2 linked regions of the Macaca fascicularis genome follow. The main gene of each other region encodes a partner of the protein of the gene in region 2 in a complex. Links are inferred from orthologs where the notes say so. Each region holds a gene or a part of one and is shown on either strand. Other genes may lie near its edges.

Region 1 (8,007 bases), on a different chromosome or scaffold from region 2:
TTTTCCTGTAAGAAAAATATCTACTTTCCCTTTAGAATAGAAGCTGTATAAAATTTGGATTTGTTTTTAACACCTTGTTTTATCATAAGAACCTAAAAGCTTTCCTTGTACCTATTAGCAATTCAATAGATATTTACTGAATGGATGAAGAAATGGATGGATGGGTGGCATGTTGGCTCCTCACTAATGCCTACAAAATGCAGTTGTATACTTTGGCTGGGCTCCTCCACATCTATGGTCAGGTTATATGTTATTGTGAAAAGCCAACTCCTAGTCCTGATTTTTAAAAAGACCATGTAACAAGATGGTCGTGTTTAATGACTTAAGGCACTCTCAGGCAGAAGAGGGCCTGAGAAATTATTAGATGTCATTTCTGATAGAATTTGAACAACTCTGGGCTGAAATAGCAAGGCAATCACTTTGATTTTACTAAAAACAGAAACGATACTGTTTTATGAGGCAGTAGGTACTCTGTCATTACCTTTCAAAGATCAGAAAGTGGTTGACTGTCTGACAGGGATATTGTAGCAGGATCTCTGCTCTAGAAAGAAGTTACACTAACCTTCTAATGATAAGTTAGTTCCATGCAACTGGTTTCAGAAAGGTATGCAGATAAAGTCTCTTCTATGTTCACAGCATCGGCGAGAAAACAGCATCAAGGAGGCCAAGGGAATCAACCTACCGTTCTACCACATCACATCAGCCATACTTCATCTCACACACCGTGGTACCAATATTTGTGGACAAGCTTGTCTGCCCACTATAAATCTCTCATTTGCCTTAATAATCAGGTGGACATTGTTACTGATTATCTCATTTATCATTTTCAGCATTTTATTTTAATCTTGCAGGACTTCTGTAGACTGTGATCACATTTTCTCTTCGCTTCCTTTTTCTATGCTTATGAGTCCTTGTATTTTCTCATCTTGCTTCATACAAAAGCTTCTCCTCTCTACTAATTATTGCCTCTGTCTTCATTAAAGATTCTCCAGGTATCTTCTACCTTCCATGGGGTGAGGTTGTGAGTAGAAGAGCATATAGCACTCTACATGCAGACATGCCATGGCAACAGAGAAGGATCACTTAAACAAGAATGATAGTAACTGTTCAAAAAAAATGAAACAAAAGCTTTTCATACAATAATAGAAATAGCATGGACACACAAAAATTTCCTACATTCAAAAGAGGCCTAAGTATGTCCACGGATGGAATTTGAGAGCGATGAAGGAACTCAGTTGCCTTCTTGTAGAGCATGCAGGAAGCATACTTTGTGTTTTGTTGTTGTTGTTGTTGTTGTTGTTGTTGTTGTTTGAGACAGGGTCTCACTATTGTTGCCCAGGCAGGGGTGCAGAGGCATGATCTCAGCTTACTGCAACCTCTGCCTCCCGGGTTCAAGTTGATTCTCGTGCCTCAGCCTCCTGAGTAGCTGGCATTACAGACGCCTGCCACCATGCCTGGCTAATTTTTGTATTTGTAGTAGAGACAAAGTTTCACCATGTTGACCAGGCGGATCTCGAACTCTTGACCTCAAGTGATCCACCTGCCTTGGCCTCCCAAAGTGCTGGGATTAAAGGTGTGAGCCACTGCACCTGGCCCAAAAGCATACTTTGAATTCTACAACTGTTACATTTGGAGACTCTCATTTGGGACAGCCTCTGGATGATCTACTCCTGAGTCTCCAAGTTAGTCCCAAACTGGATCTTTTTTAGCTAAGTAGAATAACAAAATCCCAGAATCATTAGAACAGCAAAATGGGGAGAAGATTGTAGAAGGGGAAATTTTGTGCTATCCTGGTCAAAGAGAAGAATTAATTCTTGATTTATTGCCAAAATAGAAGATATTTCTAAATATCTCAGCCTATGTTTGCCAATAGATTCCTGTCTCATCCCAGATAAGAAACACAGGGCAGCTGGTTACATGGAAGTAACATGGGTAGTTACTGCCATCTAAGGGCCATCTTAAAGAACTACACCTTCTAACTTAAAGCCTGGGAAAACAACCACTCCTTTCTCATTAGTGCCTTAGAAACTACCTCACAGTTTACATCTGTATAGAATTATGGACCTACATAGTATCACTTATGTGGCTTCATTTAACCTTCTTATAAACCATGTGTGAGAAGCCATGTCACCGTGTTGTACACCCACAAATGCTATTAAAAGCTGTTGTAATCTTTGCTGTTACGGTTTTACTTTGAATCCTAAAACTGTTGCATTTGGAGACTCTCATTTGGGACAGTCCTGGAGTGATATGCTCCTTTGTTAGCTCTTTTTTGTTCTTCAGACATAAAGCCGGGACGTATCAATTGTTCTTAGTAAACAAAATCAGGAATTTAAACTAAATGTATATAATTCAGATGGAGATGATGAGTGATTTATTGAATGATGTTAAAAAAGTCTTTTTGCTGTGGGTAATTTATACTGTCACTGGAGATAGAGAGGAGAGAGAATCCCTGAAGGAGGATTCTCCCTCCCTGAAGAAGGAGGAGATCATTCCCTAAAGAAAGCAGCATAGTCTGGGACCATAGAAAGATAGGGACATGGAGAGAAATAAACAGACTGTGTGAAGGAAAAAAAGGTGCTCAATATCCTGGTTTACAATTTTCCAATGCAATAATTTATATTTTTGAGACTTCAGTAGAATGTGAGAGCATTACATACTGTGGAAATGGAGTTGGGAAAAGTTAACTTTGAAATTCTACATCCATATTCACTGTAATTGAACTGGAGACAAAGATGGGCAAGGAGAAAAGATGATAAATGGAAGTGGTCACCCTAAAGGCTGGAACAAGAGATGCAAACCAAGGCTGGAATGGATTTGTGGAATTTGTAACAAACACTTCCTACAAGTGATTCTCAGTAAAAGGGGGCAAAGAGACAGGTGCACTAAGTTAGCAAACAAATTCCAACAGTGTGCACTGGGGGTCATATCCCAGGGACGCCATGAAAGGAAAGGCCCAGGCTTGGCAGAGAAAGGGACTGGGCAGGTGCGGGACTACCACATTACCTTTCTCCTTCTCTTCCTTAAGACGTTTTACCAAAAGCATATAATTCAACTTCTGAAAAATAAGAATGGTCTTCTTCACTGCAGTCACTGCACCAGCATTTTGAATCATCAAGTTAGCTACTTGTATTCTGTTTGCGGTACGTAGTATGCCTGTGGCGATATTAAACTCGTCTGAAAGAAAGAACTTAAACCTATCCAGTTCCTCATCAGTGATGTTATCCAGGCCCGTTAGCAAGAGTATCTCCTTGTATTTACTCTCCATCTGACGACTTTGGGATCAACCTATAAGGAATCCAAAGCATGTAAGATTACAACACCAAAAGGGATTCTACATTCAAAATAAAGCAAGGTGAGCTATTAATATTTTTAAAGAAAAATAAACAAAATGTTTGCAGTAGTAAAAGAGATTTGAATGGGACATAGGTAAGAACTTCTTAAGCAAGGTGATCCCTATTCCTGGGAAAGACATCTTCAGAAAGTATACAACACCTCTGGAATTCTTAGAAAACAGGATACATCAGCTGGGCATGGTAGCTCACGCCTGTAATCCCAGCACTTTGGAAGGCCAAAGCGGGCGGATCACCTGAGGTCAGGAGTTTGAGACCAGCCTGGCCAATATGGCAAAACCCCACCTCTACTAAAAATACAAAAATTAGCTGGGCGTGGTGGTGGGGGCCTGTAATCCCAGCTACTCAGGAGGCTGAGGCAGGAGAATCACTTGAACCAGGAGGCGGAGGTCACAGTGAGCCAAGATCGCGCCATTGCACTCCAGCTTGGGCGACAAGAGCAAAACTTTGTCTCAAAACAAACAAACAAACAAAACACTACAACAAAAAGGAAACAGGATACATTTTCCTTTTATTTTTAAAATAGATTTATCGAGGCATAACTGGCATACAACACAGTGCATATATTGGAAGTATACAATCTGATAAATTTTCGCATATACATATACCTGATGAAGTGCAATTAATCAATTTGTTCTTTCATGGATCATGCTTTCACTGTCTTATTTAAGAAATCTTTTCCAATCTCAAGATGAGAAGATTTTATGTTTTCCTCTAAAAATATTATGGTTTAATCATTTTATTTGGGTGTATGTACCGTTTTGAGTTATTTTGTATATAGTATAAGCAATGACTCAAAGTTCATTTATTTTTCATATGAATATGAAATTTCCCAGAACCGTATATTAAGAAGACTATCCTTTTTAACGATTTTTTTTACCTTTGCAAAAATCAGTTGTCCAAATATGAGTGAGTCTATTTCTGGATTCTTTATTCTGTCCATCAACCTATTTTTGTATCTTGTTGCCAAAATCACATTGTAGTAATATAGTTGTTTATGTATAGTATCCAAAATAATACACAAAACATTATAAATAATCATTCAAAAGTTTATAACTATAAGATTAATATGCAGAAATGCATTCCTTTATTCTAGCACCACTCCAAGAGTGAAAAAAATCACGTAAAAAAGTAATTTCCAATAGCAACAAAACTACAAAGTACATAAGAACATCTAATACAATATATTTAAGAGTTTTAAAGGGAACCTTATAAAACTTCATTGGGAGATTTAAAAGACCTACTTAAGTGGGTGTATGTGTGATATTTTAAATGGGAAAACTTGATAAAATGAAGACAGCAATGTTGTCAAATTAATCTATAAACTCCCATCCAAAATCTCAAAGGGTTTTTCATAGAACTTATCAGAATGATCTTAAAACCTAAATGAAAAAAATAAAGACAAAAACCTGCAAAACATGTTGAATTGTTTATTAGGATGTAGTATCCCTACTACTAGGTATCAATACTTACTACAAATGTATAATAATTAAATCGATATGGCAGTGGCATAGAGAAAAATGAACTAATAAATAGAGTGTGGAAACAGGACCACATGTAAGTTAAAGCATGGTACATAATCAAACTGGCGTTAAAAATCACAAGGAAAGAATGGCCAACTATAAAAAGTATTCAGGCAAAAGATAATATTCGGGGAATGATATATTTGGCCTTTCTCTTATATCATACACAAATATATATCTGGCTGGATTAATTATCTAAACAGAAGAGTAATGATGTTGAATAAAACACAGAATTTCTCAATACATTGAAGTAGAAGGAGGTTTCTTAAACAAGGCACAAAAAGGACAAGCCAGAAAAAAAAACAAACTTTGTCAAATGTGATTGCATGCATATTCTTAATTTCTTTGTAGGAAACACACACACACGTGCACACACACACACACTAAACAAAGTGTTTATATAAGGCAAAAACTGGGCAGATACCTGAAATATACATATATATATATATAGCTAATAGAAGTTTTGCTTTTGGAATACATGGAGAACCATGTATCACTAAGAAAACAATAAACAGTCTATTTGAAAAGTGTGCAAAAGATGTGAATGAGCAATTTGCTCAAGTATCCAATAAACATAAAAAAGATGTTTGACATTATTAGCAATTAATGACTTCCAGAGCAGCAACATATAAAGTGGAAGAAATAAGCCGAAGAACAGGAAAAGATGTCTATGAGCTGAAAATAACTGATTGTGAATTTTAGGGAAGCTTGAATACCACCATCAGTAGAGTCAATGTTAATAAATTCTAAACTATCACTGTTAATGGCCTCATAATGTTTTTCCTTATATGCTGGTAAGGGCTGGACAAACTCTACTTATACATGTAGAGTTCATGAGTGAAAATTAAAACTATTATCAGGACCATTTTCAAAATAAGAAATAACATTAAAAATATTTGTAATGATAAAGCCATCCAAATGCCCCCGTCCTACTGATGAAAGCAAGGAAGGACACTACCTTTGCTGAATATCTACAATCAGCTTGGCATGATTCCTGCTTTCCTACTTGTCTATAAGAAACTAATCTTCCTATAAGCCTCTTATATAATAACAATCACATTTTAATCACATTTTAATAAGATTGACTCATCATTTTCTCTGAAGTTATGTTGTCTTATAAATGAAAAACTTGCATTTTACTTCATAATATCTGTTAACTTAAAAAATGCTTGTATTTGCTATTGGCATAAAAGTTAGTCTTACAAACAGGCTGATAGATAAACCCCAATGGAATCTGAAGCTTAAGGAACACCAGCTCAGAGACACCAGAGGACATGGCTAAAGTGAGTAAAAGATAAATGAACCCATCCTTTCAGAGCTCATGTCCATTTTCCCAGGTTCAAGTTCTCAGAGGGGTGCATAGCATGGCTGGCATTTCCTCAGTTGTCTTTTTCGGCGGAGAAACGGTTCAGTCTCTCCTCTCTAACCCAGCTCCTCCATGGTGCTTACCTCCTGATCCCTGGGGCGATCAGCAAACCGGGTCTGCCACCTTCTCTTCAGAGAGCTTAACTAACAGAGGGCTCAGGAGAGCATGCCCAAATAACCTACGTGACTTTCAAAGCTACAAAGACTCTGACACTTCTGAACAGCTTCACACGTACCCCTAATAAACACTTCCCGTCACCCGCAGGCCCAGTGTGGGTAGGAGTGACAACTGGAGCTCTCATTGGCTGAGCTGGTTTGGGTTCTCACTAGCAGCCACAGAAGAAAATTTCTATAGAAACTTGTATCTGAGTCATGCCACATAGTTACACTGATTGGAAACAGAAAGTGGCTAGGAAACTGTAAAAAATGACCGAAGATGACTTAGTGATACGCTTTGTGACTAAGGGGCCTGGTGATGACATTTTTTCTGGTATAAACAAGCACACTGATCTCAGAGGGTATCTACAAGCATTGCCAGTATGCCAGTGCAGCTTCTTGTCTTCAAAGCATAAGAGAATCTGGAAATGAGACCAAAGTGAAAGTACAGACATTCTATTGTGGAGCAAAAGCAAGGATACCCTCAAGGGACGAGTGCAGGCACTCAAAGATTGAGTCACAGGCAATGTGGTTCATGTACTACATGAATAAGCACAATGAAGGTATGGGGTACTCTATGATAAAGAGGAAGGCTTTTCTGGGAAATGGGCGGGCAATTCCCAGAATCGGGGTGCCACCCTTTTCTTGACTAAAGATGGTTAATCCAGAACTGTCATGGCGTCAGGTGCATGATGGGAGTGGGAATTCCCCCATGGAAGTTTTATGATATTAAGGCACAATGAAGCTAAGGGTCAGCAGTCAGCCAAGTTTTCGACCATCTTGGCTTTAACCAGTTGCAGCCGGTTTCTTCTGTGTTACATTCTCATCTGTGCCTAAGTAGGAAGTTTGCAATCTGTTTTCGTTGTCATAGCCTGTTGTAACAGTTCCTGTCTACTAGTGGGGCAGTCCCTCTGCTAACCATTTTGACCCCATTTTTATTGCTTGTAGCCACATGCAAGTAATCGTGCCTCATTCCCTCACTGACTGCTTGCCTCAAAAGCATATATACAGTCTTTCTTCCTAACCAGGCTCCTAACCCTAAACTCAGAGCTTGAGGGCTTGATTCTAGTCTGCAATTTACTTGAGGTTTTCCTTTTTTATTCATTGAATTAACAATTATGCACTGAACATCTAATACGATGTATTAGATTCTGAGAATATAAAAGTTAGTAAGACAAAGTTCCAGATGTTCAGCAGCTCTGCCAAGTCATGGAAACAGACATGTAATTTAATAATCACAATAGGACATAATGATAAGTGTTATAATTAAAGCATGCTCAAGATGCGATGGGAGCAGAGGAAGAGCACCTAACCATGCCCACGTAATCAGCCCAGAGCTGCAGGACCTCCTTCACTTTCTGCTGCAAGGCTTGTTTCTACACTTTTGCCAGCTGTCAGCTCAAATAGCACCTTATCTGTGGGGCCTCTCTGACCAGCATGTTCTCTACCTCTTCACCGCATTATTTTTTCCCACACGTGTTACTGACCACCATCTGACATACTGCACATGTCATTTGTTTGTTTATTCTCTGGCTCATGCTCCTAAAATGTAACACACATGAGGGAAGAGATTTCTGCCCACTGGCTCACTGCATCCACTTCACCTGATA
Region 2 (8,107 bases):
TTCCCCTGTCCCCCGAACTCACTGCCCGCGTCGCTGGCGCAGCGGAGTGGGCTAGGCCCAGGGAGGCAGCCGGGGACCTGATGGCGGAGTCACGCTCGCCGCTGCGCTCTGGCTCAGAGTCCCGGGCGACAGGAGCTTCCCTCCAGGCGCCGCGGCCCCCCTCCCACTTCCCCGACGGGACAGCCCGGCCCCTTCCTGTGCCGAAGCCGGACTCCCCTGGTCTCCTCCCGCACTTGGTTTTGTCTCTCTTAACACCATCGCCTTCCCGCCTCAGCCCCTTCAGGGAAGGGCAATGTGGACCCTGGGAGAGATGCGAAGGGGTGGCTGGGGTGGACCGAATAGGGTGTGGCCAAATGGGGGTGAACGTTTGGTAGTGGGGAGACTGAGGGCGGGGGGCTGAAGCCTGGCGAGAATGTAGGGAAGAATGTGAGTCCTGGTGGGGATCTAGGTCAGAGCGGGGGGCGCTCATTCTCCTCGTCTCTCCGCCTGGCTGGCAACCACTACTACCAGGTTTGAACTGTTCCGTGGGAGGGGGTGCGCGTGTGTATAGCTTTAGGAGCCATAGCTTTCCACTCCCGAAGAGCAGCTGGGAATCAAAAGGGAAGCAATGTCTAGGAAGCAACCTGAGTGTGTGGTGGAGGCAGGTATGGGACCTCATGATCTCTAAGAACCTGAGGGCACCGTGGGGGGCCTGGTCTGTGATCTTTCACACCCACTCATCCCTTCCCAGAGCGCTGCAACTGAGTTGAGAGCCCAGAAGAAAAGGGACCACAGCCTCTATCCCCAGAGTTTAGGGTTAGGGTGGGGTCGCCATCCTAGGCTTTAAAGGAAGCACTGCCCTGAGATTAGAGTGGTCTGGGGAACCAGGCCTCTGGGATTCCTTCCTGTTGTAGCCGGCTGTGCCCTGACCTTGTGTGCCAGGCCGTTGCCCACTCCCAGCCCCCAGCATCCCCGCTTCCTGCCATAGCAGAGTTGTGGTGCCTCCCTATCCCTCACTGGCAGCTCCCACCCCCATCCCAGTCCCTCCCGGCCCCTGGCTGAGCTCAGACTTTGGCTAGCATTCCATCATGTTTATTGACTCCTGGGGGACAGATCACAAAGTCAGTTTGTGGGCAGGCCAGACTGCCCTAGAAGGAAGTCAGGGGCCTCAAGGGGTGGCGCTCTTCCTTAACTCGTAACTCTTGGAGGCAAGCTCTGAAGGTGCTTTATTTTCCACTATGATTATACCAACCATGTGGCCCGCTCCAGTTTTCAGGTTCTTCAGGGCCTTCTTGCGAACCTATTGGTGGGGGGTGCTGCCAGCCCCTCCCCGTGCCCGAAGGTGCCAGGCCCCCTGTGGGCAAGGCAGTTGTCTGTTGCATAGTCAAATAGTTGTTGTCTCCAACTTGCACCCCAGAACAGTTGTGTAAGTTAATGAGTGGTCGCCCTTTAAGAGAAATAGTGATGGTGGCAGGAGGGTTTAGCTGTCAGAAAGGCCAAGTTGGGGGTGGGTGGGGAGTATGAGGTCTCCACCCCCAGCTTGGCCTTGAGTGGAGTGGTCGCCCAAATGACTGTGTTAAGGTGTGTCCTGTGCCCTTCCCTTCAGAGTTCCTCTCCAGAACTGGCTTAGCAGAAGCTCTAGAGAGTAGCAATTGACATTTGAGACCCTGATCTTTTTTGCTGGGAAGTCCTCTGGACTGCTGAAACAATGGAACTTAGGGGGCTCACAGAGCTGATGCTGTGGAAAGTTAGAAAACTCAGGGAAAAATCCAAGCTTCGTTGTGTGACCTCAGAGGGCTCCTTTCTCAGGGGGTGTCAGTTTTCCCATTTATGAAATGAGGTTGAGTTAGATGATCTTCTCCCCTCGCCTCCAGAAAGTACCCTGAATCTAGATATAGATCTGGAGGAGGAGTCTCATGGAAGAATTGAACAGGGAAAAGAAAGAGGTGGAGAGTGGGTACCTGTTACTGGATTTGGCTCCGGGGTCCTGGAGGACCAGTTCATGCCATGTCTCTCAGCGCCCTGCAAACATCACAGAGCATCCAGTTCTGTCCTGGAGCCTGGACCGCCCAGTGCACTCCTCTCAGCCCCAAGTTTTGCCTGGCAAGGGGACAGCATTTATAGGACTCTTAGTGCATCCCCTAATCCTGCCAATGTCTCACCTGATTCCCCTGGGGTCCAGGACTTGGTGTTCCAGTTGATGTGGGGCTGGGCATCTGGTTTCTGAAAGTTGAGGTCTCTGGAGTCTGGGGAGGTTGGGCCACTGAATCTGAAGATGTCCCTGCTGTCCTGGCTTGCAGAACCTGCTCCTCTTGTGCCCTGCTCCTCTTGGTAAGGCTCGGGTATTTTTCAGGAACAGAGCTGGGAGACCCCTCTAGATTCAGTTTGTTTAGCAGCTCAGAAACCATGACATCATTACGAGAGTGTTGGTTTCCTGTGGTTCTCCTAAAGCCATCCATTTCTGTCCCTCCTTGGCCTGACTCGGGGGTAGAAAATCTCGGATTGCTGCTCCTGAGCTCAGATAGGAAATTCTTTACCTGCAGGGATGGGAGGAGTTTGCTGGGTATGACTTGGATGAGCCAGAGTAAACCCAAGGGAGTAGTCTCTTGGAACTCAGGGGTGGGCTGGGGAGGGTGAGGACAAAGGTCAAGGCATAAAAAAGCTGTGGTTAATGGTGAGTCATTGGATGGCCAGGTAGCCATGTTGTGCCATCCCTGACCAGCTCCTGGAGAGGGGTGATGTTGGCGCTCACTGTGGAGACAGCAGCATTTATATTGTTCTCCACCATCTGGAAGGCTTCATCAGTTTTTGGTAGGCATTCTAGAGGGACAGCAGAGTGGGTTGCAGGTGAGCAAATCTTCTTTTCCTGAGGAAAGCCCCATGCTGACAGACCCAAGCTTACCCCAGATCCAGCTAATTGGCCAGCTCACCCTGGAAGGAGGGTCTGTCCTTGGGCTCACTGCTCCAGCAGAGCTGCATTAGCTCCTTCAGTCCTTCTAAGCCGGGAGTCTCAGGCCCAGCTTGGGGCAGCTCAGTCAATGAGGGCCGGGTCTGCCTCCTGCACACTGCTCCACACACCAGTGATGCTTCTGTTGGCACTGGAGTAGGGGAGGAGGGTGAGAAGAGAAGGCATTCAGGGTAAAAGGGAATATCTGCTCCATCATGGAAAGAGGCAGGGAGTGTAATGTGGGAGCACAAGGATGGAGGAGGGCAGTCTTAGTAGGTGAGCAGGAAGGGGAAGCTTTGGGGCTTTCAAGAGAAGGGCACCTGGGGTTAAGGATCCCAGAATCCGCCTAGAGTCTTACACTCAGCTTCTCTTCCAGCAAGCACTGCCCACATTAGGATCCCGAAGCTGCAGGAGACACAAAGCTGAGGACCAGTCCAATCACTGGCAAGACTCCTTTCCTATACATCACCCCCTGGGAGGGCCCAGAGAAGTGTAGGAATCCCGGCTGTGTGTTTGGGCTGGGATCCTTACCTGTAGACATCACTGGCTGTGGAGGCCTTCCGGTTTACATTAACAAACAGTTCTGGGGCCAAGTAGCCCAGGGTGCCCCCTGGCTCCCTGGATGCTGTCCCTGACTGTGAGCCTCCCTGAAATGTGGACAGGCCAAAATCTGCCAGCTGCAAAGGAAGGAAAGAAGTGGGAGGTAGGGAAGACAAGGGGGCCAGGCAGCCTCCAGAAACCCCCTTGCCCCCAGAAGGTTCAGGTTCAGCTTTGTAAAGGGAGTGTGGAGGTCAAGGGAAGAGGCTCCCTTGGATAGTAGATCTAGGTGCCTGTGGTAGGGCTGGGTCAAGGTGTGAGTCTCCAGGGCTGGGTCAGCCATGACTCTTTGGAGGGGTTGGTGGGGCAGCTGGTGGAAAGGACTCGTGTGGGTCGGGGCCTCTATCACCTGGTATGGCAGGAGCTAAAACTCCTGGCTGGGCTTTGTGCCCTGGCAGCCCTGTGTCCAGAGGGAGAGGCTACGCCTATTCAATAGACAGGGCTCTGGAGGTCTGGTGTCCAGTGGGCCTGGCTGGAGCTGCTCTGGGGTGGGACCTTGTCCTGAGGCTGAGAGGGGTGTAGAGCAGCTGACCTTGACGTGCAGCTCTGGGTCCAGCAGGACATTGGATGGCTTGAGGTCCCGGTGCAGGAGCACCGGGTTCTGGTTGTGCAGGTAAAACATCCCAAGCACCACTTCTTTCAGCAGGCGGCAAAGCAGCGGCCAGGGCCTAGGGCACTCGGGCTGCAGCAGCCGGGACAGGGAGCCGTTCTCCATGAATTTAGTCACCAGAGCCGGCTTGGGCACGTGGTCCCAGTTCACCTTCTCGATGACCCCTTCTAGGCGCAGCACGAATTCGTTATCCAGACTTGCCATGGCCTTGACCTCCCTGGATATCGCCTTCCTACACTCCAGGAGAGAGCTGGAGTCACCCGGGGTCGTGGGAAAAATCCCTCCATTCCCCATTCAGGCCCCAGAGCACAGTGGCTCCACCTTTTTGGCCAGATTGCGGCCGGGGGGGCAACAGGGGTCACTCACGAGTTTACAATCTTGACCGCCACGTCGTAGCCCCACTTCCTATATCGCGCCCGGAACACTGTGCCGAACCCGCCTCTGCCGACGAACTCCTGGTTTTCCAGTTCCTCGATGGACACCAAGGAGGCGGAGGCACCACTGGGCCTGAGACAGGGGTGTCGCCCACTAGCCGGCAGTGCCCTACGCCAGCGCTGCTCCCCGCGCCCCTGTGACTCGGCGCTCTTACTGCAATCCCCGGCCTCTCTCGCCGGCCCCCACCGTCTCCAGACTCAAAGGCGTTCTCTGAGCGAGTCCGTGGGGCGCTCTGGGTGTGAATGTCGGAGGCTGCGATCGACATGCCTCTCCCTACTCACCATAACTTGACGCACGACATCAGGCTGGAAGGTGCGAGGGGGCCTCTGGAAATTGCGAGCAGTAGGAGATGGAATGACTTCTGGGGCTGCGGTCTTTGGCAGAGAGGGGAAGGGATCTGTCTCTGCAGGGATCAGTCTCTAGACCAGGACGGTGACTCCACTTTCCGGGTTGCTACCCGTATTCTGAGTTGACTGAACAACTTCCCTTACAGGCGCCTCTACAGTCCCGCCCCTGGGGTGGGGCAGGGGGCAAAGCGAAAGCTAGTGTCTTTCTCCCTGACTAGCGTTTCCTGAGTGCCTGCCGCATGCAGCGGCCAGGTTAGGTGTGGCTGGGCATTGAGGATGTTAGGGAATGGGTCCTCACCTTCCAGGAACCCACAATCAACCCACTCCTACAGTCAAAGCCTTCTCTTTTCCCACAGGATTTCCTGCTCCACCACCTGCCAGGCCATGAGTGGAGATGGTGCTTAGGCAGGTTTTATGGTTTTAGGGCTCAGCTCTCTCATAGCTGCCCTAAGATCATAGCCAATGCATATATAAAACTTATCATGCACCAGGTACATAGATTAGCTTATTTAATTCTCACACGAACCCTAAGGGGATAGGTACTGCTTTTATTACCTTTCTATAGATGAGGAAACTGAGACACTGAGAGTTTAAGTACCTTGCCTAAGCCCATATGGAAATAATGGCTCTGAACCATCAAGTTATCCTGTTTTCACATCATAGGTTTCAGGGCTGTTTTCACATAGGTTTCACCTGTTTTCACATAGGTTGCAGGACCACTCAGCTGGTCCTGCAGGAGGCTGGGAAAGTTGTGAAGCATCCAACGATGTAGTGAAGGATCCCTATTTGTATTCCTTGGGACTTATATGTTCATAGGGACTTATATGCCCTATGAACAGGAGCTCCTTGAGCTGGCAGACCCCAAACCCACTCCAAGGGCATTGTGGTAAGGCTAGATATACCAGCCCATCCAGCGAGTTGGTGACATTGTGGTGTACACTGCAGTGGAAACAATTCAGAGCTTTCCTGCCCTCTCTCTTGCATGACAATTCTTGCATGCAAATACCCTAATTAATGTTCCTGACAAGCACATGCTCTGGACACAGGCTTTTGATAACCCAGAAGCATGGAGAGTCTTAAAGATTTAGGGCAGAAAAAAGGTGTCCATATTTTACCTTTTGGAGGTCTGACCATGACTGGAGGTTGTGGGAACCCGATAGGGCCAGCCCTAGGCACTCAGTCCTTCACAGGGATACTCAACCCTGTGGGTTGTGTGTTGGCTTTCACTAAAAGGGGCTCACCTTGGTACTTGCTTTCCATTTTGTTCAGCGGTCCATGGGCTCTTCTGGTTGAGGCAGAAGTGATCAGCAGTTTTTTCTAGAACAACTCCTGGAGAGCTACACCATGGCTTCTGGTAGGGTCAGCTCATGCTATTTTGGAGCTATTTAGGGAATTGTTCAACTGTAGTCTCTTTAAAAGCCAATACATGGCAGATACCCAATAAATATTTGTTGAATTGAATGAATAAATGAACAACCAAAAATATTAAGCCTCTTTTAAGGCACTGATCATCCTAGATGGAGCTCCATACTCAGTAGGAGGAAAGAGGAGATCGGGTTCCTATAGGGACTGAGGGCTCTCACCTGCACAGTTCATGAAATCCGTCTGAAGTAGGCTTTAGTATAGAGATATGGTGGTATCACACAGAATCCAAGAAGGCAAGAAGTGTAGCAGGTCCTCAGAAAAGCCTAGAGTCAGAAGCTGAGAACCATCAAAAGGGGTAGCCACTCCCTTTGTGATTCTTTTTGGAGAGAATAACCCAGGCTCAGTATCTCCACTTGAAGGAAGCAGGCAAAAAGGAGTTGGAAAGGTGTTATAACCGGGTTTCTTCAGATTGGTATGAGACCCTGAGAATCAGGGATAAACTACTGTGAAGCACAAAGTTGGGTGTGGTATCAGGGCCTATACAACTTTTTGACTCAAAATAAACAGCCCCTTTAAAAGAAGGAAGAGCAGGGAGAAGAACCTTAGAGTAAGTGCCTAACAGGACCCTCAGCTTCCAGCAAGGGGGTGTGGGGGTGGACCTAGGCACAGGTTGATTCTTGGAATTTGGAAACTCAGAGTTTGGAATAATCAGATAAAGAAACTAAAGAAGCTATTGTAAAATGTTTAAAGAAATAAAAAATAGAGTAGAGAAATAAAAGAGCAAGGCATTAGAGATCATAAACAATGTCCAGATATATTTACAAAAAATAAAACATCAAGAAATGAAAAATGTATGTAACCATTAAAATTGAAATTGTAGATTTTGGTTAAACAGAAGATATAGCTGAAGAACGAATTAGTGTACTGAAAGATGAATCTGCAGACATTCTCCAGAATGCAGCAAAGATGAGCAAATAGAAAAGTTAAGAGACAAAGAATGAGTAGGTCTAACATGTTAAATTGGAATCCCATGAGAAGAGAAGCGAAAAATTAAAAATGGGGCAAGGCAATATTTAAGGAAAAAATGACTGACAATTTTCAATAACTGATGAAAGACAAGGATCCATCTGGGCACAGTGGCTGACACCTGTAATTCCAGTGCTTTGGGAGGCCACGGTGGGAGGATAACTGGAGGACAGGAGTTCAAGACCAGCTTGAGCAACATAGTGAGACCCCATCTCTACAACATAAAAATTAAAATAAAAGGTTGCCAGTTCTGGTAATCTTAGCTACTTGGGAGGCTGAGCTGGGTTAGGGTTAGGGTTAGGGTTAGGGTTAGGGTTAGGGTTAGGGTTAGAGCTTGAGCTCAGGAGTTGGAGGTTATGGTAAGTTATGATTGCACCATTGCACTCCAGTCTGGGCAACAGAGCAAGACCCTGTTTCTAAATAAATAAATGAGCAAATATAAAAAGTCAAATATACACAAATATAGTTGTGCCAAAAAGGATAAATATAAAGAAATTCACTCTAGTTATACCTCAGTGAAACTGCAGAACAGTGAACACAAATAAACAACATTAAAGGTTAAAAAGAAAGCATAGATCATCTACAAAGCAGCAGTAACTAAACTGGAAATACACTTCTCAACAGCCAAGTAAAAACCAGAAGACGTTGAAATAATTTAAGGTGCTCAAAGACAGGAAAAGTGTTCCTGAAAAAGATAACTTTGGTGTGTATACAATTTTATATTTACAGACAGGTAAAAAAAGAAAAAAAGACATTTTCAAATAAATGAAAACTGAGTTTACTACGAACAGTCACTTTCCT

Evidence for each region. Proteins that work in one complex are often made in the same cells at the same time.
Region 1: RIPK3 (region 2) and AIM2 share a complex: the UniProt entries of both Homo sapiens proteins name them as parts of the AIM2 PANoptosome complex. The link is inferred for Macaca fascicularis from reciprocal best matches to the Homo sapiens genes RIPK3 and AIM2.

The regions. Positions count from the first base shown.
Region 1 is NC_088375.1:102,009,287-102,017,293, reverse strand, and holds part of AIM2 (interferon-inducible protein AIM2), read right to left. Parts: intron 6,460-8,007; exon of another isoform or gene 6,326-6,459; intron 3,291-6,325; exon of another isoform or gene 3,289-3,290; 5' UTR 3,269-3,288; coding exon 3,007-3,268; exon of another isoform or gene 1-3,006. UniProt on the Homo sapiens protein: Sensor component of the AIM2 inflammasome, which mediates inflammasome activation in response to the presence of double-stranded DNA (dsDNA) in the cytosol, leading to subsequent pyroptosis.
Region 2 is NC_088381.1:92,151,459-92,159,565, forward strand, and holds RIPK3 (receptor-interacting serine/threonine-protein kinase 3), read right to left. Parts: upstream 5,035-8,107; 5' UTR 4,870-5,034; coding exon 4,850-4,869; intron 4,641-4,849; coding exon 4,500-4,640; intron 4,366-4,499; coding exon 4,056-4,365; intron 3,604-4,055; coding exon 3,458-3,603; intron 3,332-3,457; coding exon 3,285-3,331; exon of another isoform or gene 3,247-3,284; intron 3,078-3,246; coding exon 2,910-3,077; intron 2,800-2,909; coding exon 2,732-2,799; intron 2,517-2,731; coding exon 2,142-2,516; intron 2,002-2,141; coding exon 1,941-2,001; intron 1,427-1,940; coding exon 1,206-1,426; 3' UTR 1,056-1,205; downstream 1-1,055. Other genes in the region: ADCY4 (adenylate cyclase type 4), read right to left, coding at 23-469. UniProt on the Homo sapiens protein: Serine/threonine-protein kinase that activates necroptosis and apoptosis, two parallel forms of cell death. Necroptosis, a programmed cell death process in response to death-inducing TNF-alpha family members, is triggered by RIPK3 following activation by ZBP1.